Linked DNA regions of Oryctolagus cuniculus. The protein of the gene in region 3 purifies or fractionates together with the protein of the main gene of each other region. This does not show direct contact. Links are inferred from orthologs where the notes say so. Each region holds a gene or a part of one and is shown on either strand. Other genes may lie near its edges. The genes, in order: UNC119, SH2D2A and LCK.

Evidence for each region.
Region 1: the proteins of LCK (region 3) and UNC119 purify together in Homo sapiens (affinity purification with western blotting; 3 studies listed by BioGRID and IntAct, with this or other methods). This does not show direct contact. The link is inferred for Oryctolagus cuniculus from reciprocal best matches to the Homo sapiens genes LCK and UNC119.
Region 2: the proteins of LCK (region 3) and SH2D2A purify together in Homo sapiens (co-immunoprecipitation; 3 studies listed by IntAct, with this or other methods). This does not show direct contact. The link is inferred for Oryctolagus cuniculus from reciprocal best matches to the Homo sapiens genes LCK and SH2D2A.

The regions. Positions count from the first base shown.
Region 1 is NC_091448.1:44,060,605-44,070,469, forward strand, and holds the start of UNC119 (protein unc-119 homolog A), read right to left. Parts: upstream 4,817-9,865; 5' UTR 4,739-4,816; coding exon 4,519-4,738; intron 2,483-4,518; exon of another isoform or gene 2,459-2,482; intron 1,275-2,458; coding exon 1,161-1,274; intron 706-1,160; coding exon 603-705; intron 484-602; coding exon 311-483; intron 64-310; coding exon 1-63. Other genes in the region: PIGS (GPI transamidase component PIG-S), read right to left, coding at 6,236-6,511, 6,846-7,056, 8,179-8,279, 9,137-9,282. UniProt on the Homo sapiens protein: Involved in synaptic functions in photoreceptor cells, the signal transduction in immune cells as a Src family kinase activator, endosome recycling, the uptake of bacteria and endocytosis, protein trafficking in sensory neurons and as lipid-binding chaperone with specificity for a diverse subset of myristoylated proteins.
Region 2 is NC_091438.1:41,983,903-41,993,456, reverse strand, and holds the start of SH2D2A (SH2 domain-containing protein 2A), read right to left. Parts: upstream 5,694-9,554; 5' UTR 5,585-5,693; coding exon of another isoform or gene 5,562-5,584; coding exon 5,551-5,561; intron 5,452-5,550; coding exon 5,324-5,451; exon of another isoform or gene 5,320-5,323; intron 5,017-5,319; coding exon 4,856-5,016; intron 4,188-4,855; coding exon 4,003-4,187; intron 3,562-4,002; coding exon 3,472-3,561; intron 3,294-3,471; coding exon 3,125-3,293; intron 225-3,124; coding exon 72-224; intron 1-71. UniProt on the Homo sapiens protein: Could be a T-cell-specific adapter protein involved in the control of T-cell activation. May play a role in the CD4-p56-LCK-dependent signal transduction pathway. Could also play an important role in normal and pathological angiogenesis.
Region 3 is NC_091438.1:140,190,318-140,199,386, forward strand, and holds the end of LCK (tyrosine-protein kinase Lck), read right to left. Parts: coding exon 9,013-9,069; intron 8,723-9,012; coding exon 8,573-8,722; intron 8,329-8,572; coding exon 8,176-8,328; intron 8,086-8,175; coding exon 7,906-8,085; intron 5,218-7,905; coding exon 5,141-5,217; intron 5,049-5,140; coding exon 4,895-5,048; intron 4,822-4,894; coding exon 4,690-4,821; intron 801-4,689; coding exon 598-800; 3' UTR 167-597; downstream 1-166. UniProt on the Homo sapiens protein: Non-receptor tyrosine-protein kinase that plays an essential role in the selection and maturation of developing T-cells in the thymus and in the function of mature T-cells. Plays a key role in T-cell antigen receptor (TCR)-linked signal transduction pathways.

The DNA.
Region 1 (9,865 bases), on a different chromosome or scaffold from region 3:
GGTCATCCACGAAGTAGAAGCTGTCAGACTGTGTCTCGTACGGGTGACGGATCATCTCGCTGACTGCAAGAGAGGCCCAGCCAGGCAAGGGCAAAGGTCAGGAGCTGGAGCAGGGCCCCTGCAGGACAGGGGCACCTGAGTTCCCAGCCACTTTGCCCATTTCTCTACAGGTGACGTGGGAACGGTGCCTGATCCAGAAGACTTGGGGGCGGGGCTGGAGAGGAGGGAGGGAGGGGGTCAGACCCACCAGGACCCCTTGCACCCCAGCCTGGTCTCTGTTCGCACCCCCCCACACTCCCTGCCCACGCACTCAGCTCTTCAGAGAGCGGGGGGAAGTCGTAGATGTGCTCGCAGGTGTTCTTGCTGCTGGGGATGCAGAAGCCGAAGTGGAAGTCAAAGCTTTTGAGCAGCTGGTTGCGGAAGTAGTGCCTCTCGATCATGCGGAAGTTGTTGACGGGCTTCTCTCCCACCGTGAACTCCACCCTGAAGCAGGAGGAGGGGCAGGGCTCAGTGTGGCCGGCAAGCCAGCCAACTGGCTGGCAGGAAGGGCTCCCTCCCACCCTTCCCCTCACCCGCTGCTGCACCCCAGCCCAGAGACTCACGTGGCTCCCACCTGCCTCAGGCGGAGAAAGGCAGGGGTGAACTGGTAGCGGACAAAGCGCCCAGCATTGGGGTCCAGATCCCGCCGGTTGATGGGCAACCGCTCTGCAAGGTACCCCAGCTGGGGCTCAGTGGGTGTCAGGCTGAGGCCCTTGCCCACCCAAGGTTCCTCCCCATGGCTCCATTGGTCTGAATTTTTGACAACTCCCCAGAAGATTCTAGTACATGTGGAGGGTTAGAACCATTGGTCAAATGATGATACCACTTGCGGGTTCTAGGTCAGATTTCAAATGAGGTTCTGTGGACTGCAGGGTGCAGCCGCCTGCAGTTCCCAAAAAGGCCTGCAGAGGGCAGGCTGGCAGGGATTGAAGGGGCAAGACGTCCAAGTCCAGAAACGTATGGCAAGGAAAACAGGCCCGGCTGCCTGCAAATCCTGGACGATCCTGGCATCCGAGCCTCAACTCTACTCCGACTCCTTTGAAGCCCAAGAAGTCGCTGGGCAGAGCTCTCTGCAGTGCCTGCCTGCCTCCCCCTCTTAGCAGCCCACCTGGCCTGCTCACCTGAGGCTGGGGGCTTCTTGATTTCAAAGAGGACAGTGCCTGAGTCCATGTCCCGAATCTTGAACCTGACGAAGTCGATCTTGTAGATATTCTCCTCGGGGGAGCACAGGTAGTCTAGGGGAGACAGGCAGCTGAGCAACCAATGGGTCCCCAAAGCCCTGCTGCCAGTTTGTGGGTGCCTGGATTAGCTACCTCTTTCTCCTGGAAGAGACAGAACTCTGCCTCGGAGACCTAAGCTGGAAGAAGAGCCCCATCCTACTGGCCTCAGCGGATCAGGGACAGTCAGGGCCCTTCCCCCACTCTCCCCTCCACCCTGGAGTTGAGGGTCCAGATCTCAGCCTCAGCTCTGCCAGGCTGGCTGGATGCCTTTGTGCCAAATGGGCCCAGTCCAGTGGGAGCCCCTGGTCCAAGAGGGAAGACACAGCCCCACCTTCGGGAACTCCACTCTAAAAGGGGCGACACAGCCCTGTCCATGGCCACCTCTGGCACCACCACATCCAGATATGTCAGGCAAGGATGGTTGTGATTTGACTTTCACTGACAATGGGGGGTGCCAAGGCAGGTACAAAACCCTTTCTCTGTTCTTCTTCTCTCCCAGCCCCCCTTCTCTTCCGATAAGCGGCTTATCCAAGCCCAGCTCTCTTAAGCAGCTTAGCCAAAGCTCTGCTGACTCAAGCCCAGAGCCTAGGATACTGGGGGAAAGGGAGCCAACTTTGCTCCCATCCCCTGTTGCTCTCCAAACAGGAGGAAGTCTTAGCAAACAGAGGGAAGACCCTGAGACGTCACCCATCCACCCATCTGAGCCCCTTGCCACAGGGAAAGCACCCCCAGACCCCACAGAGGACAGGAGAGTCTAGGCCAGGAAGAGGGTGTGGGTGAGGTTAAGGGGAACCAGGAACAGAGACAGGCCCTGCTTGAGGAAGCTCAGGAACATACAGGGCCTGATCTAACCCTCACTGCTCTTGCTGACCAACTGCAGGTGCTCAGGGGGCCGATGAACAGGAAGGAGCAGAGCGGTGCAGGGGGGCTCCCATGCTGCCATCCCGTACAGCACCACACCCTCCCCTGGTGGCCCCGAGAGGCCTGCAAACTACCCTCCAGGCCCCTGGGTCACCTCCTATTCCTCTAGGGCAGGAAGAGGAAGGGAACACAGTCATTCTCTCTTCCCCAGGTCTGCCTCTTCTCCTTGCCTGGGGTAACCCCCTCCAGGAAGCCCCCTGGCAGCCATTTGGGACCATGGGGCCCAGCACTGCCCCATGGTGGGGAAAGGAGGGGGAATGGGCGTGGGTAACTCTTACCTCCATGCTGATTTTCATAGAAAGTAAGCACTAGTCCCAAGGTATACAAGGGTACTTCAAAAGGCCATGGGAAAATGGAATCAAATGTTTACTTGGGTGCACTGGAAGTCTGACATCCATGCACAGCGACTCCATCATACTTATTTCCATGAACTCCATGGGGAGCCCTCATGGAGAGACGGTGCAGGCCACAGGGAAGGGAGGTGGCAGAGCTGGGAGTGGGATCCTGGGAGCCAATTCCCAGCTCCCCAGGAAGCCCTCTCTTCCCTCATCTTCCACCTCTCCGGGCCTCTCCACTTGCTCGAGAGCAACCTCTGGCAGCCTGGCCCCAGTCTCTTCTACTGCAGACTCGACCTGCCAACCCCTCTGTTGCAGAGGAAGCGTGGAACAGGGGCTGCTCCCTCCCTCTGCCAGGGGAGGATGCAGCCCGGGGCCCAGGGTCACGATGGCCTAGGGCTCGGAACACAACTGTTCCCTTCCCCTCAGCCACAAATAGCTCCCTAAGCTGGATTCAGGGCCTGGTAATCCTGGAACAGCAAACCTCAGACCTGTGTGATTAGGGTCAGAAGAGACCATCCCAGGGCTGCAGGGTGGAGAGACCGGCACGTAGCTCCTGATCAGCACAGGGAGGGCTCCAGTGAACACCTGCCCGCTGCACTGCCCACGGATGCCCCTTCTCTCGGGGCTGTGACATTTCCTCCAAATTAGGAGACACATGGGAGTACCTGCGCTGGAAGCCTCCTATGGTTACAAAACAAACCCCAGAAGTTGCCCGGGCCTCAGGTCGGCCTGACCTCCGATTTTCTATAAGGGAGTCTGTCCCAGAGCTAAGCTGGAACTGGGTGCTGTTGCTGCAAACCGCAGCCCAATCATCACCAGCATCAGCCTGCTCCAGCCCTCTCCCACCTTCAATACCCACAGGAACGAGAGCTCCACGCGCTGGGGGCCCAGACAAGAATGCCCGCTGCTTAGCTCAGAGGGAGCGGGGTCCCCAGGGAGCCAGAGGCATGCTCAGGCCTGCCACCAGGGTCCCTCCACAGCCCTGCAGCTCCTGCAGCTCAGGGCTCACGTCCACTCCAGTGCCTGCCTCCCATCCCCACACAGAGGCCCCAGAGCTGCTCACAAAGGGGGCCAGGCCGGGCTGCTGCTGAACGATCCCATGTGGAGGGCCATGGTCTCTGCAAGGCTGAGCCGTGGCCTCTGCCAGGAGGCGTCCTGGCCCTTGTCCTCTGCCTAGAGTGGCCCTCTCCCCTGCCCTGCATGCCCAGTTGTCTGCCTCCCAGAAGCCAGGGGCAGCCCTGAGGGGCCCTCAACGCATGGATAAAGGAGCCCTATTTATAGTGCAAGCAGAGCTCAGATTCAGACGGCTCTTTATTTTCAGAGCAACCTGATGAAGTCGGTGTCAGTATCCCCAATTTACAGATGAAGAAACATGCTCAGGGAAGTGTAGCTACTTGTCCAAGGTCACCCAGTCAATTACACTCAGAAACTCCTACCCACGGTGGAAGGGATCAGAGAGGACAGGCTTGGGGGGCATTAACCCGCTCCCATGACAGGGCCCACAGCCAGCGCAATGACGCTTCCTGCTCGTTCCCTCCTGGGGATGAAGATGGGATGGGGGCACCAATGCTCAGGGAGACCCGAGGGTCTTGTGGGCTCAGGAACAGCCTCCCCCTGGCCCCCAGCGTGGGCGGACACCCTGCACGTGACCCCCCTCATTGGTGCGGACGGGCCTCCCAGCCCCAAGACTCCCTGTTGCAGATGCTGCCCCACCTCCACCAAAAAAAGCGACAGACTCTCAAAGGGGAAGAAATGGGTTAGAAATAAACCTCCAGAGAAAAGAGGGGGAGCGTACCGAGAGATCAAGGGAAGGGGAACCCAGAGATCTCAGGCTTGCAGGCAGAAGGGAGAGGAGTAGAGTAGGGGACACAGGCGAGGGGCCTGGTGGGGGAGGGGAGGCGAGAAAGGGGGCGGGGGCCGGGGCTCAGCGCGCCTTGCAGGCCCCCTCCCGGCTCGCTCTCCCTCCCGCCCGCGGGCGGCGCTCCCTCGCCGGCGCTCACCGCCCGTGATCCGCTGCAGCCCCAGCACGTCCTCCGGCCCGATGGGCTGCTTCCTCTGCAGCGGCCCCGGCCTGGGCCCCGGGCCTGCCTCTGGCTCCGACTCGGACCCGGATTCGGATTCAGCCCGCGGATCCAGCGTGGGCTCCAGGCTCGGGCCCGAGGACCCCGGAGCGGGCTCCGCCCCCGTCCCGGCCCCGCCGCCGCCCTTCTTCACCTTCATGGCCTCGCGGGGCCGCAGCTCGCCTGCTGCCGCCGCCGCCGCTGCCTGCGCTGGCTGGAGCCAGGGGAAGGGGGAGCGTCCGCAGCCCCGCCCCCGGCCGGGGCCCCAGGTACCGCCCCGCCCCCAGGGCGGGCCCGGTGGGGCCACGCCCACCAGGGCTGGACGACCTAGGGCGGACGGGGGCTGCCCTGGATTTTGTTCATTTTTGAGTACTTTTTCAGAAGTATTGGAGGTCCTAAGTGCTCTTACCTGCTGTGTCCCAGTCTTTCTGCCCTTCTGGCGAGTTCCAGTCCCAGGGCCTTCGCCTGGGATCCTTTTCCACTGCTGCTCTCATCCCAGCCTTCTGGTGTCACTCTGCTCAAATGTCATCGCCTCTAAGGCCTCCCTCCCCCAGTCACTATCTGATCAGTCTGGTGTTTTTTCTTTCTAAAGCACTATGAAATTATTTTTATGTGTTCAGACTCTTGCCCCTGACAGGCCTGCTCCGTGAAAGCAGAGATCCTGTCTGCTTTGTTGTATACCCCAGCGCCTAGCACAGTGCTCTTGGCAGCTCAAAACATTTTTTTTTTTTTTCTTCAAACTGATGAAAGAGTATCCGAGGGCTTACACTGGCACAAGCTATTCTTTCCAAGACACGGTACTAAAAGGCAGGAGCTGTTCCAGGACTTCCTGGAGACAGGAAGAGCACATGGCCGTGTGGAGGCAAGGTGGGCCTGTGAGCGCAGGAGTACTTTATCAGAAAACCTTTAGACATGGAGGAAGAAAGAGCGACAGTCATGCTCCCACTTCTAGTAAACTCACTATGTACTAAGAGCCAAACGGAGCGCAAACACTTTCACGTGCTTATCACATTTAATCCTCACAGCCGCCCTGGAAGGGAGGTATCATCAGTGTCATTTGAACAAACGGAAAACAGGCTCAGAGAGATTAAGTGGCTTATCCAAAGCTCCCCAAACAATACTGCAGAAGCGAGGATATGAATTCAGGCCTGTTTGATTCCGAGTCTAGAACTTACCACACTGCCTCTCGGCAAGCATGAAGGGAAACTGCTACACACAGCACCAGATCCTGGGCTCCGGTCAGGCTGTACCCAACAAGTCAGCCAGAAGGGAGAGGAATCAGGCAGAAGATCCTGGAGGTGACCTGTGCCATACCCTGTCCGTGACAGCAACGCTACCGCTCTCCTCTGCTGCGGTCAGAGAGAAACGCAGGGGAACAGGCTAGAATCTAATCCAGGGTTTTCCCCTGCTTTATGCAGAGGCGAGCTGCCCCCGCCTCCAGGGAGACAGGCAGAGGCCTTCAAGTCAGATAAGGAGGTAGGGAAGGGACCTGAGCCAAGGGACTGGGGAGCGGAGGGAAGATGAGCCCATCTTGGAGTGGTGTACTTGGGTTGCTGGAGAGTCAGTCAGTCCCTCCCCGAAGCCCCATCCACGTGCCTCTGTTGAACCCTCCCCGCCTTGGCCAGAAGCGAGGCTTTCTGCTGAAATGCCGCCCTGCTCAGTCTGTCTTCTCAGATTTGTTCCAGTTTTTCCGGGTCTCCAGGAAGATCTTGGCCAGGGAGTGCAGGATGGGCACGGCCATGGGGAGGAAGAGCGGGATGTAGATGGCAAACTTCTGGTCATCGGGGAAATAGAGGAGGTGGAGGAGCGAGGGGTCAAAAAAGGCCCGCTCAGAGGACGTCACAGCCTCCTGGCTGGCGACGAAGGCAGACGCCAGGTGCCCAGAGGCTAACTCTTCTGCTGCCTTCTGGACTGCAGCTACAGCCCTGTACACCTAGGAAGGGGAGGGGACGATGGTTAGCAGTAAGGCCTGGGCCATTGCGGGGAAGGGGACTGGGCCTTACTGGGCCTTCTGTATATCAGGGAGGGGGCCTGGAGTTCACCAAGGATCTATGCAGGTCAGGCTAACAAGGCTGCGGCTTATTTTCTGAGGTCCAGCTTGAACCCTCTCTCCGATCGTGACTCCTGCTGGGGAGCTGGCACGGCTGTCTGCAGGTAGCCAGGGGCACCATGGGTGGCACGCCCACACTCATCCCAGGCCTCAGCTGGCTCTCTGGTCTTGCCACACCCTGGGCCTCACTGGCCACTCCAATCCTAGGCCTGCTTACCTCAGATGCCACGTCGTCCTTGATGACAATGTTGCTGATCTTGCCCAGGAGCTGGGCCAGAGACGTGAGGGTGGTAGTGGCTGTGGCCAGGTTCTCCACCGATCGAGCCCAGAGCAGCCGGTCTAGCTCCCATGTCATCAGCCCTTCACTCTTGGGCCCTGAAAGCAGGCATTTTGGAGGCACCTGGGGCTGAGCAATCCCAAAAAGCAGTCTGGAGAAACAGGGAGAGAAGATCAAAGTGGCTGAGACCAGAAGGTGGGAGGCTGTGACTAGGATTCCTGTAATACCTGCTCTAAGCCAATGATTTTCAGTCGTATCCAGAGCCACAGGGGTTGTGGCAAGTGTCTCAGGGTCTCGGAAGGTGAGCAGCAACGCCAAGCAATCCAGAGCCCCCAGTCCCTGCTTCAACCAGAATGTTGCATTTCCACTGTTTCTTTATTAGATTTCCAAAATCTTGTGGGAAAAAAAAAGTTCCATGGTGCAGTGGATAAAGCCAACACCTGTGATGCTGGCATCCCATATGGATGCCAGTTCAAGTCCTAGCTGCTCCATTTCTGATCCAGCTCTCTGCTAATGCCCCTAAGAAGGCAATGGAAGATGGCCCAAGTACTTGGACCCAATACCCATGTGGGAGACCCAGATGGAGCTTGGGCTCATGGCTTCAGCCTGACCCAGCCCTAGCCACTGTGGCCTTTCAAATAGACAAAATAAATCTGGAAAAAAAAAAAAAGAAGAAAAAGAAAGAAAAACAAAGGACAAAGGTTCTATAATAAAAGTATTTCTAACACCAACTCCGTTGAATTCCCTCACTCTTTCTACTCTCTTTGGACAAATGGGGCCAGTGGGACTTGGTGTTAAGAGATGATGCAAGCCCACCTTTGACATGGCACATGTGCTGTGCTTCTGTAAGCTGTACCCACGACAGACATTACTAATCACTCGGAACACTCTCCTGGTGAGCCCAGACACAACTTCAGAACACAGGACTTCAGACTGCCACTCTCAGTGGATCAGTTCGCGTAAGAATTGCCAGCTATCTTCTTAAGCACCCCTAATCATACCCCAGGGATCTGAAGTACATGAACTTATTTTTCTTAAAACAGGTTTTGTCACCTGCTAATCCTCCTCAAGAGGAGGACACAGAGCTCCTTGGAAACCTTTCTCAGTTTCCCTGGGGCTCTAGACACAGCCAAGACATTCCTGCCAAGTGAGATTTCTCTGCTCTCGGCAGCCCCCTTCTCGGCAGCCCAGCAGACGATCTCAGGGGGCAGCTGGCCAACTTCAGGTCATCAGGGAGACAGAGGACACCCCAAGTAGATAGCCAGGACCTCACCGCAACTGCGCCAGGAACACCTCCATCACTCGTACCATGTCCACCTCGACTCTCACTGGTAGCCTGGAGCCATTGTAGGCTTTGGGGTCAACATTGTATACCTGAAAGCAGAAGGAGAAGGAGCCTGAGGTTGCCACACCCCTACAGGTGCACAGCTCTCCCCTAGGCAATTCAGAGGCCATGAAGGAAAAGGAAGACATATTCCCTGCTCATTAGAACCAGAAACCCAGGACCGGCACTGTGGCGTAGTGGGTAAAGCCACCACCTGCAGTGCCAGCATCCCATTTGGGCGCTGGTTCGGGTCTTGGCTGCTCTACTTCTGATCCAGCTCTCTGCTATGGCCTGGGAAGGCAGTAGAAGATGGCCCAAATCCTTGGGCTCCTGCACCTGCATGAAGACCCAGAGGAAGCTCCTGGCTCCTGATTTCGAATCAGCGCAGCTGTGGCCATTGTGGCCACTTGGGGAGTAAACCAGTGGAATGAAGGCCTTTCTCTCTCTGCCTCTCTTTCTCTCTCTGTATAACTCTGACTTTCAAATAAATAAATAAATCTTTAAAAACAAACAAACTAGAAACCCAATGAAACAGCTGACATTTTTGGGGAATACATAATATAAAAGGAAAAATAAATTATCTCAATGACCCCAGGAAAGTCCTGTAAAAGAAAATTTTAAATCTCATTTTACAGTTCTCACCCATGAGAAACTCCCAGTCTCACAAGGGGACAAGGTTCCCAATCTTACAAGACCCCCAAAGATAGAGCCAATATCTAAGCTGGTCACAGGATGGCCTTGGTAAGTGCAAGATGGTTACAGGGCAGAAATAAGCAGCAGCAGGGCTGGCAGAGGAGGCCGAAGGCATGAGGACCCCAGAAGAAAAACAGAAGAAGCAGTTTCAGGGCATGTCTGTCTGTCTGTCCCTGAAGCCTGGGCTCTGGGGTCTTCAGAGTGTGACTTTTACCATAATGCCACCCCAGCGGGGACTGTGGAAGGCGTTGGTGGCCACTGGAGCCCCATCCTTGTCCTGAATGTACAGGGGCGAGTGGGCAAGCTCAGGCACGTAGAGCAGAAAGTTGAGCACAGGGTACAGGGAGGCAGCGCTGGATCCTGTGGCAGAGAGAGAAGGAGAGTTAGAACACCAAGATCTCAGCTCCAGAACAGCCTCTACCTTGCTGGTCACTCATTCTGGGACCGAGTTTTCCCCGCCGATGACCACCAGGATATCCTCCAGTCCAGGATTTCTGTGGCACAGACCTCCAAATGTTCTCCTGAGACATGCCACACAGGTGGAGCATAGTCCTTAGCCTCAAGACATCCCCTGGAATGTCCCCCCATCTAAAGGGACTTCTTTGACTGTCTTAAGATAGCTGTCTTGGCCACTGTCCCACTGGACCTACATTACTATAGCTTTTATGCACTAGGATCTATCTGATGTCATGTCAGTTCCCTGCTTAATACCCTTCGGTGGCTAGTCGCTCATGTCATATTAGAGTTCAAACTCCTTAGCCCAGTCCTTTATGATCTGGCACCCAGCTGCCCTGCCAGCCGCACTCACACACATTTCAGTCAGGGTAAACCTTCCTGGGCTCCCTGCATGGCTACGTTCTCTTCTCTTCTAGATCTAAGCTCATAGTTCCCTTTGCCTAACTGCCCTTCTGTCTCCGGTACTGTCAGTGTCTGCTGAATGAAT
Region 2 (9,554 bases), about 98 Mb from region 3:
GTGCAGGCTCCGCCTCCTCCCTCTGGCCCCACCCCAGCCCTGCCCCCACCCTCACCGCTCCTGCCCAGTACCTCCTTTGGCTCCCAGGCCCCCTCTGTCCGTGTTGGGGCCGGGGCCTGCCCCTGCTTGATGACTGTGCTGTACTGGGGGTTTGGATCCTGGCTTTTGCCTCCAGAGTCTGCCTCTTCAGTCCTCAGGGAAAGTCCCGCAGGCTCCGGAGTCTGCTGGGGAAGAAGGAGGCCTGAGAGACGTGGTGCCACGCCTGGCAGGATGGAGGGTGGGCAGGTGACCCTCGAGGTCCAAGTGAGGGACGGCGGAGGGTGAGATGGACACAGAAATTTGGCCTGGGCTGGGTCCCGTAGGGGAGAAGACGGAAGAGGCCAGGGAGGTACAGGCTCTGGGCACAGGCTGGAACTGGCATTGAACTTGATTTCATGTGGAACACAGGGCCAGGCCAGTCTGCATTTGTGCCTGTGCTTGTAAAAATGCAACAAAGAGAGCAGCGTGGTGGCGTAGTGGGTTAAAATGCCTCCTGTAGTGCCAGCATCCCATGTGGGCGCCGGTTCATGTCTCAACTGCTCCACTTCCAATCCAGCTCCCTGCTAATGCACCTGGGAAAGCAGCAGGAGATGGCTCAAGTACTCGAGACCCTGCAGCCACATGGGAGACCTGGATAAGGCTCCTGGCTCCCGGCTTCCACCTGCCCCCCCTTTTCTCTCTCTCTCTCTCTCTCTCTCTCTCTCTCTCTCTTTTCCCTCCCTCCCTTTCTCCTGCTCTCTCTAACTCTGCCTTTCAAATAACTGAGTAAAGCTTTAAAAAACGTGACAAAGCCTTAGGAGACTTTCTACGAAGCGATCAGCCCGGGGACCGACCTGTACGACTGCTGAGCCTGCGTTAATTTCTGCAGGGGGGAGCAGGTCACATGTGGAGATACACCGCTGCATCAGGGACGCAGCTGGCCGGCCTCATAGCAGGAAGCTACCGTCCTGCAGGTGTGCTTCTAGCTCAGTGTTAGCCCCAGGCTCGAATGCCTGCTGCCTTTGGTAGGCTAAGGCCACAAGGCTTTTTCTCAGGCTCCTGCGAGCCACAGGTCTCCATCTGGGGGTGCACTGCAGGCTTAAGGGGTCCAAGTCAGATTTCTCTCTCCATGCTCCCCACCTTTGCCCACCCATCCCAAAGGAGCCCCTCCTCCCTGCTATGCAAACAATGCCTTGGGAGGCAGCCCTGGCACCTCCGCCTCAAATCCAGGGCGGGCCGAGCTCTCTTCCCCTGCCTGAATGCCTCTCACATGGGCTGCCTTCCTCCAGCCCCGCAGCCACCATGCTTGGCCAGGCCTCCTCCCCGATGCTCCTGCCTGTCAAGCCGTTCTCCAGGCTTGGGGCAGGGGTGATCTTACACAGACGCCCTCACAGTCCTCCCGTGGCTGCCGCTGCTCCGGGATAAATGGACTCCTGAGAGCCTGAGTGACTGGCACAGTTCCCCGAGGGCCGCATGGCCTCTCCCTCACCACCGCCTCCCTGCACTCAGTTCCTGCCGCTTGGGCGTCTTCGGGTCTCTGCCTCTTCCTCACCATTGGCACTCTCCCCACTTCTTTTGAGTTGACCCCAATCAAGCTCCGTGGAGCTGCTCTCATTGGAGTCACCAGTGGCTTCCTCTCTGAAATCCAAGGTCAAGTCCTGAGCTGCCACGGCCGCTCACCCTTGCTGGGCTGGCTTGGCTGCCGGAGCTCCGAGCCGTCCTGGTTTTCCTCTCGGCTCTGGCTGCTCGGCTTTCTCTGCAGGTTCCCCTCGTGTGTGCAGGCTGCAGGTGCACATCTTCCCTCCTCCTCCATCGACACTGACTGCGGCAGACCCCGCCCCAGCCCCAGCCCCAGACGCTTCAGAGCCCCTCTCCGCGCTGACGACTGCCCAGCGTTTATCCCCGGCCCAGGCCTCAGACACGTGGACACCCTTGTTTGCATGTTGAACAGACATCCCGAGCTGTGCATGTCCCAAACTGAACTTCCCCCATCGCCCACCCCTGCTGGACCGACTGCTCCTACAGCTGTCCTCATTCAGACAATGACAACTCCACCTTTTCACACTTCTCTTCCAATGCTGCAAACAGCCCCGCAGCTCTGCCTGCTGTGCAGGGCCACGCTCCTCACTCCTCCACGTCGGCTGCCCTGGCCCCGGCTGCCAGCACCTCGCCTGACATACGGCAGGAACCCCACGTCTAGCAGCCTCCTCCTCACCTCTCCTGAGCTGCCAGGTCACACGACTCCTCAGCTTGCCACTCTGCAGAGTCATCCCCCACCCCCCACTCGGTGTAACCTTCCAGATCCATACAGGCCCCCTTCCCTCACCTCCCTGTTCTCGTCTCCTACCTGCCTCGCCCTCAGCCGCCCCGATGCACCCCAGTTAGTGATCCTCCAAACACATCAAGCACCCCCAGGGCCTTTGCACCTGCTCTTCCTGCTGTCTAGAGCACGTTTCCCCCAGTTCTCTGCAGGGCTCCTTCCATTACTCCATTCAGGCCTCTGATGTCCCCGTGAGAGTGACCTCCCTCGATGTCCCTGTGTGAAACAGTCGCTCCCTTTCCCATTCACTACTGCGCACTGCTTGTTATCTGCACCATTTGCTGTCTATCTCCTCCGAGGGAAGCTCCGTGAAGGCAGGGATATTTCGTTCAGCTTCGCTCACTGCTGTCCTCCCGGTGTGCAGAACAGTGCCGGTACACAGCGCCGCTCAGAGCTGCTGAACTTGTAACCAGGGAGGCGTTCCCTGCGGGCTGTGTGGTTTCTCCCGGCTGCACACTGCGTGCTTGGTTCCTATCAGTCTTTGCTTCCTAAGAGAAAGCTTTGTGCGTTTGAAACCTGTCTGCCTTGTCCTTGGGTCATTCCCAGGGCCTGCCGGCGCTTGGTGTGCCCTCCCCACCCCTCCTGTCCATGTGGCTGGGCTGGTCTCTCAGGGTCTCTTCTGCCCCGTTCTTTCTCCAATGACTTCCCATGGTGGTGAGTAGGCAGGGGAGGTATGACTGGGGCCACAGCCCTGGGCCTGGGCTCTGGGTGGGGAGGATCATGGGCCTGGGTCCTTGGGTCTTGGGTCAGGTGGGGGGGGGGCGGGGCCAGGGGTCGGCGGCGTACCTGGCGGGCGAGGGGCTCCGTGAGGGTCTCTCCGTAGGGGCTGAGCGGGCAGGCCGAGTAGTGCTGCAGCAGGTCCTGCAGCCGCGTGTGGGCGCTGTCCTCGCCCAGCACCACGTGGCGCCCGTCCGCGAGCTGGGCCAGCAGGAAGTGGCGGCAGCAGGTCCGGCTCCTGGGCGGCACCATTCGGGGTTAGATGCTCTCCCTCCCTGCTGCCAGGGCCAGCGGCTGGAGGTGTGACCCTTAAGCCCCTACCTACTCTGTGATAGGGTCCACACCAAGCCCCCCCACCCCCCACCCCCCGCCCCCGCATCAGTTATCCCGGAGCCCTGCCTCCGCGCCCTCAGCACCTGTACGTCAGCACGAAGGTCACGGCGCTCTCGCTGAAGCGCACCAGGTAGCATCCCGGAGGCTTGGGCTCCAGCAGCCTCTCGGCCTCCCTGTGGGTGTCAGAGAGAGGGGGCGGAGCCTTGCTCTGACTCATCTGCCGCGACTTCTGTCTCCCTACTCTCACCAGGGATCCCTAACTTGAGCAAGGGCTAGGGTGCAGGTAGGGAGAAGAGGGCGCTTGGGTCCGCGTGGACGGGCTGGGATCCTACTCCGGAGACCCCTGAGCCCTGCAGCCTCCAGGAGCCTCGTCCTCCAAGGGTGGCTTGGAGAGAGAGGGTACACTGGAGCCTAGAGAGGGGAAACTGAGGCATGGGCACGGTGTTGGGCTGGAGCTGCTCCAGTGCTCTCCAGGAGAGAGGTTTCCGTGTAAGCCCAGGAGACCCTGGGAGCCAGTGCCTGGGCTGGTGGCCTCCGTCTCCCCCTGCCTGAGGACCCGAGACTCTGCTCTGGGTCTGCCCCTCTTCAGGCCTCTCTCCACCCCTGTGACTCACTTCCGGGTGATGAAGCCGTGGAACCAGGCAGGGGCGGCCCCGTCCTGCAGGAGCTGGTGGGCCTGGGTCCTCTGGAACCAAGCCCGGGCCTCGGCCTGCAGGGTCAGGCCTCCTTCTCCAGGCACCTCCTCAGCTCTCTCTGCTGGCGCTGGGATGGGGGCAGCCCCCGAGGCCTGGGGCCATACCTGGACAGGGGAAGAGGAGAAGGAGGGGAAGTGGCCACGATGGAGGGGCCGTCCACTGCCTCCGTGCCGGCAGCCGCCCTTGCCCTCCTGCCTGTCCCTCCTGGCTAGTTCAGGCCCTGATTGCCCAGAGGAGCCTCCTGAGATTACCGACTCAAACTTCACTCCAGCGGCCTGCTTCCCAGACTCTCGCCCTTGCCTTGTCTCTGGGTCCCGGGGGCACTTGGAACCGTGGGCTGGTGCACTGCTCCAAAAGGCTGAGGGGCAGCAAGGTCTTCCCACGGGACGGAAAGCCATGGGGCTGAAGGGAGTCACCCCAGAGGCCTCGCTGAGCGAGAGTTCCCAAGGACTGTGTGGATGGAAAGGGCTGGGACGGCACCTGGGAGAGGCTGGGCACACCAAGACACCTGCTCCTGCCACGCAGGGCTCTGCACCTGGCCGCCTGTGGGCTCGGCTGAGCTTCCCAGGAGCAGAGAAGTGGCGCGGGGCCAGCCCGGCGTGGGAAGGAGGCACTGCCCGCCATCTTTGTCTCCCTCCAGGCCCCTAGCCTGTTGGCACCTGCACTTCATCCCAGCTTCCTCTCCTGCTGACCTTGTCCACCTGCTAGTCCTCACCGTGGAGGGGTGGGAGGAGACGAGGGAGCTGCACGCCCACCCCAGGGTCCCACTCACCGTGGTGTGGACAGCCAGGGCCCTGGGGCTGGGCTGGGCTTCCTCGCCCCTCAGGGCCTGCAGTCTGGGCCTGGGGAGCAAGCCAAGGCCCTGGCAGCTCCCGCGGGTCGAGTCCATGGTCTGGGACGTGCTGAAGGTTGGGCTGGGGGCTCCGTGATTTCCTGTTAGCATAAAGGGGTGCTCAGGGGGGGTGCTGCCTCTCTCTCTGCCTCCCACCCCTCTCTGCCAGGCTCAGAGGAACCCCACATTCCCCGAGCAGAGGCCTGGGGACAGGGAGACGCAGAGGGGATTTGTCAACCCTGAGGAGTAGGGAGCCCAGGGGGCACAGAGGGACGGCGGCTATCAGAGGGGGCGGCCAGGGAAGCGGGGTGCCAGGAGGGAGGGCTGGGAACAAGGCTGGGAGCCCCCCAGGTGGAGAGGTAGCTCCCTTCAGAGCAGGCCCTGTTTGGGCCTGGGATCCTCACCTACCGTGCACTTCGTCTTCTTGCTCCCTCGCCTTGCCTGCCTTTGCGCCCAGGGAGGATGGGCCCGGAGCTCCCCCAAAAGGGAATGGGGGAGGGGGGCGAGCTCTCTCACCCCTGAGGTGGGCGCTCAGGCTGAGGAGAGAGAGCAAGGGTGGTGGCTGTGCTGACGTCTGTCCCCGCACTGACGTCTGTCCCTGCACACCGAGCCCCGATCTTGAACATTGCACTTACCTTGGGGGCATATCTGGGCCAAGGGCACCTCCATGGGGCAGCCTATGAGGGGCCCCCAGCACAGGGTGGGTGTCTGGGCTCGCCCGAGGTGTGCATGCTCAGCAACTCCTTGCTCCCCTCGCCCTAGCCCCCGGGACAGGAAATGTCGCCTCACCCACAGCCCGCGCCCGCCCGGCAGAAGACTCGCGTCACGGAAAGCACTGAGGCAGGTGTCCCGCCCCCGGAAGTGGGGCAGCTGACGGTGGTGCAGTGGCCTGGTGGGGCTGCTGTTCCTGTCACTTGGTGTTGACGTGTTGGGAAGTCCTGGCTGATGTCTGCTCTCCACCCCTCCAGATGCTGTCTCTGCGCCCCAAGCCCAGGCTCGGACTTCCTTTTCTTTCTTTCGTTGTCTCAGCTTCTGACTTCTTCCTGGGAAACCTCCCAGTCTGGCTCTCGTTCTGCTCTGAGCGGTGGGAATGGGGAGCTTCTTCTGGGTCTCCTACACAGGTGCAGAGGCCCAAGAACTTGGGTCATCTTCTACTGCATTCCCCAGGCCGCAGCAGAGAACTGGATCGGAAGGGGAGCAGCTGGGACTTGAGCTGGCGCCCATATGGGATGCTAGTGTCACCGGCGCAGGTTTTACCAGCTACCCACAGCGCCGGCCCCTATGCCTTTTCCTTAATGCTAGGAAGTACAGAGAGCAACGTCTTGTCCTATATAGCTAACTCCAAGCCAGGGATTTTGGAATGAAGGTGGTGATTGTGGGAATCCAAGGAGATAACACACACAATGGAGTGAAAAAATATCTTTAAAAAATTTGTTACTCCTATCATTTAAAAAAATCTTTATTATTTGAGAGGCAGAGTGACAGAGAGAGACAGAGATCCTTCATCTGCTTGCTTCGCTCCTCCCAAAGGCCTGCAGCAATCAGGGATGGGCCAGGCCAAAGCCAGGAGCCAGGAACTCCATCCAAATCTCCCATGTGGGTGGCAGGGACCCATGTCCTTGGGCCACAATCCACTGCCTCCCAGGCACAGTAGCAGGAAGCTGCATCAGAAGTGTGGAGAAGCCAGGTCTTAACCAGGCACTCTGATGTGGGTGCAGGCATCCCAGTAGATGGCTTAACCCACTGCACCACAATGCCTACCCCTGTTTCTACCCGTTGCAGTAAGGGGACAAACTGATGAGTTTTTCCTTTTACCTTCCTACCCTACGTGTGCAGACTTGACCCATAGCCCACCATTGCCTTGTCTAATCAGTTATGATTTGGTAAATAACTGCCAGGGCCTGGCTTGGTCTTATTTGAGGATCTCCTGTCACCAGTTTACAGGTAGGACCACTGAGATCAAGACTGAGACACACAGATTCAGAGAGCAGGTGTTTAGGCTGGTGGTTACGACTCCCACATCCTGCATCAGAGTATCTGGATTCGATTCCTGGCTCTGGCTCCTGACTTAGCTTTCTGCAATGATGACTCAACCGACTGGGTTCCTGCCACTCACACAGGAGACCTAGGTCTTGTTCCTGCTTTGAGTTCCCAGCTTTGACCCCAGCCCAAAGCCAGCTGTCACAGGCATTTGAGAAGTGAACCAGTGGATGTTGAATGTGCTGCCTTTCTCTCTCTCTGCCTCTCAAATAAATAGAAAATAGTAAATAATTTTATTTTTAAAAATTTCTTAAAGATTATTTATTTGAAATACAGAGTTATAGAGAGGCAGAGGCAAAGGCAGAAAGAGAGAGAGAGAGAGAGAGAGAGAGAGAGAGATCCTCCATCTGCTGGTTTACTCCCCAGATGACTTCAATGGCTGGAGCTGGGCTGATCCGAAGCCAGGAGTCAGGAGCTTCTTTTGGGTCTCCCACATGAGTGCAGGGACTCAAACAACTGGGCCATCTTCCACTGCTTTCTCAGGCACATTAGCAGGGAGCTGGATCAGAGTGAAGCAGCTAGGACTCGAACAGATGCCCCTATGGGATGCTGGCGCTGTAAGCAGAAGCTTTATCCACTATGCCACAGAAGTAGCCCCTGAAAATAGTAAATAATTTTACAAAGACTCAGCTTTAGTCATACAATGAGAACATTAATCTGAACCTGAGGCTTCCATGTGGGACTTTCTTTCTTTCTTTCTTTCTTTCTTTCTTTCTTTCTTTCTTTCTTTCTTTCTTTCTCTCTCTCTCTCTCTCTCTCTCTTTTGATTCATTTATTTGAAAGTCAGAGTTACACAGAGAGAGGGAGGCAGAGAGAGAGAGAGAGAGAGAGAGAGAGAGATCTTCTATCTGATGGTTCACTCCCCAATTGGCTGCAATGGCCAGAGTTGTGCCGATCTGAAGCCAGGAGCCAGGAGCTTCTTCCGGGCCCCCAACGCGGGTGCAGGAGCCCAAGGGCTTGGGGGCATCTTCTACTGCTTTCCCAGGCCATAGCAGAGAGCTGGATCGGAAGAGGAGCAGCTGGGACTAGAACCGGTGCCCATATGGCATGCTGGAGCTTCAGGCCAGGGCTTTAACCCACTGCATCACAGCGCCGGCCCCTGCTTTCATGTTGATGACAGCTGAGGAGAGCAGAAAAGGAGCAGGGCTTTCAACGCCTTTAACTATTGCTGGAGCAAAAGAGCCCTGTGTGGCTTTCCTTGGGAAGATCAGTTTCAGGCTTCAAGAAAACCAGAATCTTAGGGGCTGGTGTTGTGACAAACCGGGTTAAACTGTTGCTGGCGACAACAGCATCCCATATCCAAGCACTGGCTCAAGCCCAGCTGCTCCTGCTTTGATCCAGCTCCTTGCTAATGCACCTGGGAAGGCAGTGGACTATGGCCCAAATACATGGGTCCAGGCCACCCCGACCTGGATGGAGTTCCTAGCTCTTGGCATTGGCCTGGCCCAGCCCTGGACAGTGCAGCCATGTGGGGAGTGAGCCAGAGGATGGAATCTCTCACTTTCTGTCTCTCCCATTTTCTCTGTGTCACTCTGCTTTCTAAACAAGTAAATCTTTTTTTAAAATTTATTTCCCCCCAAAGAAATCTTTTATTTAAGGAATACAGACTTCATGCATTTCACAAGTACAACTTTAGGAATATAGTGATTCTTCCCACCATACCCGCCCTCCCACCCACTCTCCCACCTCCCCTCCTCCCTCTCCCATTCTCCACTAAGATCCATTTTGATTAACTTTATGCACAGAATACCAACTCTATACTAAGTAAAGTGTTCAATAATTTGCATGGGGAAAAAAACAAAAAACAAAACAAAACAAACAAAAAACTGTTCCTCAACAGTTGAGACAAGAGTTGTTCAAAGTCATTGTATTTTGAAGTTAATTTCACTTTTTTTCCCCCTAGAAACTTAGTTAAATTTAAAGAAGCACCCAAGAGTGATAAACTTTTGTGATTATTCAGACTTAATTATAATGCAACTCTTTGAGATTAGAGGTCTTGATGGGAAGTTAGTGTATGGTGACTCTTGTTGTTAATTTAACAATTAACACTCTTATGTATGACATCAGTGATCATCTGAGGCTCTTGACATGAACTGCCTAGGCTATGGAAGCCTTTTGAATCCACAAACTCTGTCAGTATTTAGACAAGGCCATAAGTAAAGTGGAAGTTCTCTCCTCCCTTCAGAGAAAAGTACCTCCTTCTTTGATGACCACTTCTTTCCACTGTGGTCTCACCCACCGAGGTTCTTCATGTAGGGCATTTTTTTTTTTTTTGATAGGCAGAGTTAGACAGTGAGAGAGAGAGACGGAGAGAAAGGTCTTCCTTCCATTGGTTCACCTCCCAAATGGCCACTATGGCTGGCACGCTGTGCCGATCTGAAGCCAGGTGCCAGGTGCTTCCTCTTGGTCTCCCATGCAGGTGCAGGGCCCAAGCACATGGGCCATCCTCCATTGCCTTCCCAGGCTATAGCAGAGAGCTGGACTGGAAGAGGAGCAACTGGGACAGAACCGGTGCCCCAACTGGGACTAAAACCTGGAGTGCCAGTGCCACAGGCAGAGGATTAGCCTAGTGAGCGATGGCGCCAGCCATGTAGGGCAT
Region 3 (9,069 bases):
GCAGGAAGCTAGAAGGGAAATGGAGGAGCCCAGATGTGGGTGTCCCAAGCAGCAGCTTAATACACTGCACAACACCCCAACCCTGGGGTGACCCAGTTTCTATCATGTGACCTCCCATTTACCACCCCCCCCCCCAAGAAAGAGATACGGAGTGCACAGCAGAGAGTTGCATCACCTTCATCAACAGACATTTATTGAGCCCCTAACAGGTGCCAGGCACCGACAAGGAGCACACAGAGGTATTAGATAAGGTCCTAACCCTGAAGGAGCTTCTGGAGGGCTTGGGCAAAGACAAGTGGGCAGGCAGAAGCTGGTGTCAATCACAAGACTCTCTCCTGTCTCTGTGGTATCAGGAAGTAGGAGTGCTTAGAAAGACACACCTTGGACAGTGTCGAAGGCATCCATGCATAGGCTACACATGTACAAGACACATGTGCAAAACCCATGCAACTCGGGATGTATGTACAAGCACAAGATACATATGTGTTGCACGTGGGCAGGACTCATGTGCAGAGTCCATATATGCATAGGCCATGTGGTTTTGGCACAAGAACTCCATCTCCCCAAGCCAGGCTGGCATGAAGGGGAAGGGCCTTCTCAAGGCTGGGGCTGGTACTGGCCCTCTGTGGCCGTGAAGAAGTCCTCCAGCACGCTGCGCAGGTAGTCAAAGGTGGGCCGGTCCTCTGGGCGCTCTTTCCAGCACAGCTTCATGAGGTGGTACAGCTCCTCTGGGCAGTTCTCAGGGCGCACCATGCGGTAGCCCCGCTCCAGGTTCTGGATCACTTCAGGATTAGTCATCCCTGGAGGTTGATGGGAGAAAGGACATCAAGGCTTTAGAATTTCGAAGCCCACAGCCAAGGGTGATGTTTAGAACCTGTAACTGGCAGAGTCCGAGCACCAGTTCAAAAGGATTTTGGTCTTCTTCAATGGTAAAGCCATGCTGGCAGCACCTGCTGATGTCATTCACACCACCTGACTACCTAATACAGCTCAAACACTCAATTAGCACGCACATTTTAGCTGTGGGTCCATGGACAGCAACCTTACCTCTTTTTTAAATAAAAAAATGGGATTTGTTTATTTAATTGAAAGGCGGAGGGGAGGGGGAGAAACAGAGAGCGGGATCTTCCATCTGCTGGTTCACTTCCTAAATGCCCACAACACTCAGGGCTGGGCCAGGCCAAAACCAGGAGCTAGGAACTCCATCCTTCTCCCCAGGGTACTTGGGCCATTATCTGATGCCTCCCAGGTGCGTTAGCAGGAAGCTGGATTGGATATAGAGGAGCTGGGACTCAAAGTGGGACTCTGATTTGGGATGTGGGTATCCCAAGCAGTAGCTTAACCCACTGTGCCACAACGTGCTCCCCCCACATCTCCTGCCAACCTCATGTCTTTGGGCCTGAATTTCCTTATCTGGAACACAGAGTAAGCTGCTGCTCCTCCCTCCCAGAGTCATTATGATGGCTGAACGAGGTAGTGTGTATGAAGGCCCAGTTAGGCGCTGCTTCACCAAGGGAAATTGTGATTATGATGATGACAGGTAGGTCAGGACCCAGGGCAGGATGGGAGCCCACAGCCAGGAGAGTGGTGAGGTTTCTCCCACTCTGGGACCAGGCACATGAAATGTGAGTCAGGAAGACAGAAGGGCCCAGGCCCAGAGAAGCAGGCTCTGCCTGGGACTGAGAAGGATCACCAGGCCCCTCCATGACCCAGACCAAATAGTCTTTGGGTTGGTTCCCTCCTTTTGTGCTGGTCTTGTTCCCCCAGGCAGGCTTCTTGTCTCAGGAGAACTTCTCTGGAGGATTGCAAGGATGTAATTCCTTGTTTTCATTTCATTCTTTTTAAATGTTTGTTTATGTTCATCTACTTGAAAGGCAGAGGTTCAGAGGCAAAGAGATATCTTCCATCTGCTTGTTCACTCCACAAACGCCTGCAACAGGGGGCCGGCACCGTGGCAGGGTAGCCTAAGCCTCTGCCTGAAGCGCTGGCAACCCAAATGGGCACCATTTCATGTCCCAGCTGCTCCTCTTCCAATCCAGCGCCTTGCTCTGGCCTGGGGAAGCAGTGGAAGATGGTCCAAGTGCTTGAACCCCTGCACCCATGTGGAAGACCTGGAAGAAGCTCCTTGCTCTTGGCTTTGGATCAGCCCAGCTCCAGCCATTGTGGCCATTTGGGAAGTGAACCAGTGGATTGAAGACTTTTCGGTCTGTCTCTCCCTCTCTCTGTCTGTAACTCTACCTCTCAAATAATAAAGAAAATCCTTAAAAAATTAGGAAAGAAAGAAAAGAAAAGGAAAAGAAAGAAAGTGCTGTCCCTGGGACAGAGAGAAGCTTTAAAAATAAATAAATAAAATTTTAAAAAATGCCTGCAACAGCCAGAGCTGTGCCAGGCCAAAGCCAGGAGCCCAGAACTCTATTTGGGTCTCCCACATTGATGGTAGCAGTCCAAGCTCTTGAGCCATCAGCTGTGTCAGAAGTGAAGTCACTGGGACTCAAACTGGCACTCCAATATGGGACACAGGCCACATCGCCCACCCCGGTTCCCTATCTTAAAATTATCCATGTATCCTCTTGCATTTTCTTCACTCTCCTGAGAGAAGACTGTGACAAACAGATCTCAAAGGCCAAACCCTTATAGGGTCCCAGCAAAATACATACACTGAAGTTTGGCTCCTGCTAAGCTTGGGGCTAGACCTTTGTCAATACAGACTCCTCTTCCCCAGCCCTTGCCCTTGGATGGCTCCTATCTCTGGATTCCTCACATTTTAAAATCCAGGAAGTAGAAGACGTAAGCCAGGAAACCAAACACGAGAGTCAATGATGCCAACCATCAGCTAAACCCAGCTTGAAGATGGCCCAGCTTGCTTTGGACCAGGTAGTTGATTTTCCATTTGTTTGTTTCATTTGCAAGATCAGGGAGACAGAGAGACACAAACAGCCTCCCCATATGCTGGTTCATTTCCTCAAATGCCCACAATGGCCAGGGCTAGGCCAGGCCAAAGCTGGAAGCCAGGAACTCAATCCAGGTCTCCCAGTGGATGGCAGGGACCCATCCACTTGAGACATCACTGCTGCTCCCATTGTCCACAGTTAGTAAGCTGGAGTCAGGAACTGGAGCGGGACTTGAACCCAGGCACTCTCATGTGGGGCATAGGTGTCCTAACTAAAGGCTTAACTGGTAGGCCTAATGCCCATATGGTGTTTTTAAACAACTTGAGTCAATTACCAATATTTGGAAATGAGTAGCTTTTCCTAAAACTCCAAGTTTTGGTCTCTCTTGGAAACACAAAAGATCTGGTTTTCAGATGCCCCTACCATAAGTGACAGCCATCTGCTGGGGCAGATGCAAGTTCACTAAGGTCCCCATGTCTCCCCATTCTCCCAAACCCTAGTGCCACGTGTCAGTTGCCTTTGATCACGGGGCTTTCACTCTGCAGGAACAATGGAGGAGCAGCAGGGGGCCTTGGCAGGACCTCTGGTGTGTGGTTCTAGCTCCAGCACTGCCTCCGGACTCTGATGGGACAAAGCCACGGTCCTTCAACCTCTCACCTGACCCCACAGAGCCTTCCTAGGAGCAAAGTTCTGTTCACATTGCTCTGAGATGTGCGAAGCCTCTGCAAATCCAGCCACTGGGCTCCATGACCTCCCTACTCCTGTTTGTGTGTTCAATTTCCCTTCCTCAGAGTTCCCAAGCCAATTCCTTTCAAAACCTTCCATCTCTGTCCAGGCTGAATGCAGGGAGGTGGGGAGGGGGGAAGCATTTCAGGGGAGGGCGATTGGCTGTTTACACATCTCTCTTCCTCTTTAGAAGGCAAACGGAAGTCAGTGTTCAGTGAGCACCTCCTATGAGCCAGGCTTTTTACAAATAATCGCTTGTTTTTCAGGAAACTGAGGCTCACAGAGGTGAAGTGACGGCCCAAAGTGATGATTAATAATAGCTCAGCATGGGCCAGTCACTACAGTGATCTCACACTTAACAGATGGGAACAGGAGGGGTGATCTAGGACAGGCATTTGACACAACAGTCAAGTGTGGCCACTTGGGGTAGCTGCATCCCCCATACTGGAGTGCCTGGGTTTGAATCCCTGGCTCCACTGCCAATTCTAGCTTCCTGCACATACACATTCTGAGAGACAGCAGGTGACGGCTCAAGTAGTTGGGTTCCTGCCATTCACACAGAAGACCTGGATTGAATGCCATCTCCTGCCTTCAGTCTGGTTCAGTCTCAGGTATGAGGGCATTTGGGGAGTGAACCAGCAGATAAGAGATTTCTATCTAACTATGTCTGTCTGCCTTTCAAATAAACAAAATAAATAATTAAAAATTTATTTTAAAAAAGAGAAGGAATGGTCTGATCAAAACCAAAAAGAAAGTTAGCATCAGTTGCAGATCTGGTAATAAAAGACAAGCCTCTTGCCTTCCAAACCAGATCCACTTCCACCATACCAGGCTGCCTGTGCCAGAACTAGAGAGAAGAGCTGGGGTTCTAGAAGGGAGAGATTCAGAGACAGAGATGCAGGCTGGCCCCGGGAGATGTGGCATCTGTTAGGGAGGTTGGAGACAACCCTGAGAAGACAGAGGAGAAGCAACCAGAGAGTTTCAGGTTCTGAGCCTGGGAGGAAGCGAGTGGGAAGACATGGATTTGCTGGCCTTCCCCATCGCCCCTTTCAGTCCTGTCTTTGGTGCTGACCTGGGTAAGGGATGCGGCCATGAGTGACGATCTCCGTCAGCAGGATCCCAAAGGACCACACATCTGACTTGATGGTGAATGTCCCATAGTTAATGGCTTCTGGTGCTGTCCACTTAATAGGAAACTTGGCTCCTAGGGAGAAACAAAATGTGTGTGCTTAGCCAGAAGGTACAGGCCCCAGACCTCCCTCACGCCCCACACCTACCTTCCCTGGCTGTGTATTCATTGTCCTCAATGAGGCGCGCTAGGCCAAAGTCTGCAATCTTGCAGCTCAGGGTGTCAGAAACCAGGATGTTGGCAGCCCGCAGGTCCCGGTGGATATAATTCCGCTCTTCAATGAATGCCATGCCCTCTGCAATCTGCAGGCCAGGTACAGGTCAGTACTCCTGGGCCTGACAGCTTCACCCCACTGGCCTGTGCCCAACGCCCAGGCCCTCTTTAGCCTCCTTACTTGGGCTGCCATGTCCAAGAGTTTGTTGATGGTCAATTTGATGCCTGTAGGGGTCTTGAGAAAATCCACTAAGCTCCCTGTAGGCAGAAGCAAGAGTTGCTGAGCCAAGTTGCCCTAGGGGGAGGCCCTCAGACCCTTGTCCCCCAGCTGGGGGTCTAGATGGATGAGTAAGGAGTGCAAATGGAGAAGCTTGTTCAAGGTGAGAGGCCCAGGAACATGAGGGGCTTTTTCAGGGGACAAGGTGGGGGCCCTGTTGGAGGGGACTGTAGGTTTCTCATCACCATGAGGGTATAGAGTCATTCAAAGTCCTGCGTGGTCCACATTTGCAGCTTCTCCTTCCGCTACCGGCCTCTTTCACTCCACCCATCAACGACAACTTTGAGATCCTTCACACAGACCACTGGGCTCACCTCTTTCTTTCATATCTGCCTGCTAAAATTTCTTTCTTTCTTTTTTTTATGTACAGAGTTAAGTTACAGAGAGGCAGAGGCAGAGAGAGAGGTCTTCCATCCACTGGGTCACTGCCCAAATGGCAGCAATGAAGCCAGGAGCCAGGAGCTTCTTCCAGGTCTCCCACACGGGTACAAGGGCCCAGTCACTTGGCCATCTTCTGCTGTTTTCCCAGGCCATAGCAGAGAGCTGGATCAGAAGAGAAGCTGGGACTCGAACTGTGCCCATATGAGATGCTGGCACTGCAGGCAGTGGCTTTACCAGCAAAGCCACAGCACTGGGCCCTGAAATTTCTACTTTCCTTTCTTCTTCTTCTTTTTTTTTTTTTTTTTTTTTTTTTTTTTTTTTTTTTTTTTTACAGGCAGAGTGGACAGTGAGAGAGAGAGACAAAGAGAAAGGTCTTCCTTTGCCGTTGGTTCACCCTCCAATGGCTTCCGCGGCCGGCGCGCTGCGGCCAGCGCACCGCGCTAATCCGATGGCAGGAGCCAGGAGCCAGGTGCTTTTCCTGGTCTCCCATGGGGTGCAGGGCCCAAGCACCTGGGCCATCCTCCACTGCACTCCCTGGCCACAGCAGAGAGCTGGCCTGGAAGAGGGGCAACCGGGACAGAATCCGGCGCCCCGACCGGGACTAGAACCCGGTGTGCCGGCGCCGCTAGGTGGAGGATTAGCCTAGTGAGCCGCGGTGCCGGCCCCCTTTCTTCTTCTAACCCAGTTGGGCCACCCTTCCTGAAAGTCTCTCTGGACGCCAGCAGGCACCACAAATTGCAGCATCATCTGCCTTCCCATGCACACTGGAACTTTTCCATGACTTGAGCTCTGGTTTTCTCAGTGCCAATTACTAAAATCGGGCTTTCCAGGGCTGGTGCTGAGGTGTAGCAGATGAAGTGTCTGCCTGCGGCACCAGCATCCCATATGGGCGCCAGTTCGTGTCCTGGCTACTCCTCTTCTCATCCAGCTCTCTGCTTATGGTCTGGCAAAGCAGTGGGAGATAACTCACGTGCTTGGGCTCCTGCACTCATATGGGAGACCTGGAAGACGCTCCTGGCTCCTGGCTTCAGATCGGCCCAGCTCTGGCCATTGCGGCCATGTGGGGAGTGAACCAGCGGATGCAAGACCTTTCTCCCTGTCTGAGTGGGCTGCATACGTTGGGTGGGGTGTGGCAGGAAGGACACTCTTTGGTGGGGGGGGGGGTGACTGGGAGAAGACCAGGATAGGAGTTGCTGGAACACAGTCAGTGACCACTGGCCCTTTCCAAGTGATTAAAACTCTGTGTGCGAATGACAACGAGCACGTGCCCCAGTGCGAGTGGCGTGCTGAAGCAGTCATCAGAGATGCAGGCCTCACCCAGCCCCAGCACATGCAGGGACACACGCTGCCATTCCTCCTCGGTCGGTGGCAGACAGTGCTCATCAACCCCCACGCTCACCTCCAGTGAGCCCGAGACTCCTTCGCAAGCCTTCGCTCCAAAGCTGGCGTACCTAAGATCTAGGTGACTTCCACGACCCATGAGCCAATGAAGAGTTTGCTTCCCTTCATGAAAGAGGGGCAGACCTTGTGTTCCCAAAGAAGCAGAGCCGGGTCCCTGCCTGAGCTGCTAACACGGAGCAGGCACTGTGCTAAGGGCTCTCCGTAATTCACCTTCGTAGCCTCCCAAAGACTGTGAGGAAGTGACCCCTGTCCTGGTCCCACCGTTTTACAGATGTGGAAACCGCGACAGAGAGGACTGACGTGATTAGTGCAAAGCCATCCAGGGCTCTAACCCAGGCTCCCGAGCCTTTAAGGAACACCCGGTGTGACTTCTGGGCCAGCCCGTTTAAACTTCTGCTTTATTCCTTAGGATAACTGTGCGCTAGATGCGGTACAGGGACGTGGCCTGTGTCACACAGCAAGTCAGTGGGAGCAAAGCTGAGCCTAGGAGCTGCTCCCTGTCTTTTTCGGACTCTTATGCTATTCCACAGCAGAGCTACTGAAGTAGGAGCTCACCCAAAACTGAAAAAGAGCCATTTGGGACAGAACCACCACCACCCTCCCAACTCTCAGAGGTGGGAGACAGAAACGGGGTCAGGGACCCACTTCACTCTGGGATCAAGGCAGAGCTTTGAATCAGGGGGGATGCTGTTCCAGAGCCTGCCACCTTGCGCGGGGGGCTTCCACAGAGGCCCCAACGACAGCTCGCCCCACCCCTGGAGCTGAGTCTTGGGAGCCCCCGGAAAGGCCTCTAGCTCTGGGCGGGAGGAAACAGCGTCTCCCCACCCTCCAGCAGGGTCCCAGGGGCCAGCGGTGTTCCCCAGCGAGCATGCGCGGCGGCCGCCCACCGTTTTCCATGTATTCCGTGATGATGTAGATGGGCTCCTGGGTGACCACCGCGTAGAGCCGGACCAGCCGCTGGTGCTGCAGCTGCTTCATGAGGTTGGCCTCGGCCAGGAAGGCGTCGGGGGACATGCTGCCCTGCTTCAGGCTCTTCACCGCCACCTTTGTGTGCCCGTTGTAATAGCCTGAGCCGGGGGCCAGGGTAGTCAAGGTCGCGGGACCGCAGCAGACGCCCCCGCCCCGCCCCCCAGGCCGTGCCGGAGCGCCGCACTCACCCATCCACACCTCCCCGAACTGTCCGGCCCCGAGCCGCTCCACCAGCTTCAGCGTCTCCCTGGGAACCTCCCATTCGTCCTCCCACCAAGGCTTCTGGGGCTTCTGGGTCTGGCAGGGGCGGCTCAGCCGCGTGCACAGCCCGTCCGGAGCACCTGCGGGGACGCGGGCAAGGGCCAGCATGGCAGAGGCCGTCGGAGGGCAGGGCTGGGAGGCCCCGGAGCCTCCACGTCCCCACCCAGGGGAAATGAGCTGTCACCGACATCTGGGACTGTGGCCGGGTACCACACTGCAGCCACTGCGGGGAACGAAGTACACCGGCAGACGCAGGAGGGCGCCCCTAGGGGGAAGCAGGGGAAACAGGCTGCCAGCGCACAGGTGAGGGGTCCTGCTGCTCACTGGTGTAATGGCGGACCAGCTCGTGCAGGCCTGGAAAAGTGATGCGAGGGGAGATGTAGAAGCCGCCGTTGTCCAGGTTACGGATCTTGTAATGTTTCACCACCTCTCCCTGGTTCTGGTCGAAATCCCGCACCGACAGTGAAAATGATCCTGGATGAATGAATGCACGAACCGAAGAGAAGGAACTGGAGATCAGGAGGGATGGCTTCCTGCCAGGCGCGCCCACACCTTCGCGCTCCGCAGCTCCCGCCTGCGGCCGCGCCTACCGAGCCCACACCCACTGGGCCCCGCCCACCGAGCAAGCCCGCGCCCGAGGGCCCCGCCCACCGAGGCCCGCCTCCTGAAGCCCCGCCCACCGAGCCCCACCAGGCGGGGCCACGCCCACCGAGCGAGCCCGCGCCCGAGGGCCCCGCCCACCAAGATTCCGCCCTCCCGCTCACCCGCGGTGCTCTCGCTCTCCCGGATCAGGAAGGAGCCGTGTGTGTTCCCGGGCGCCA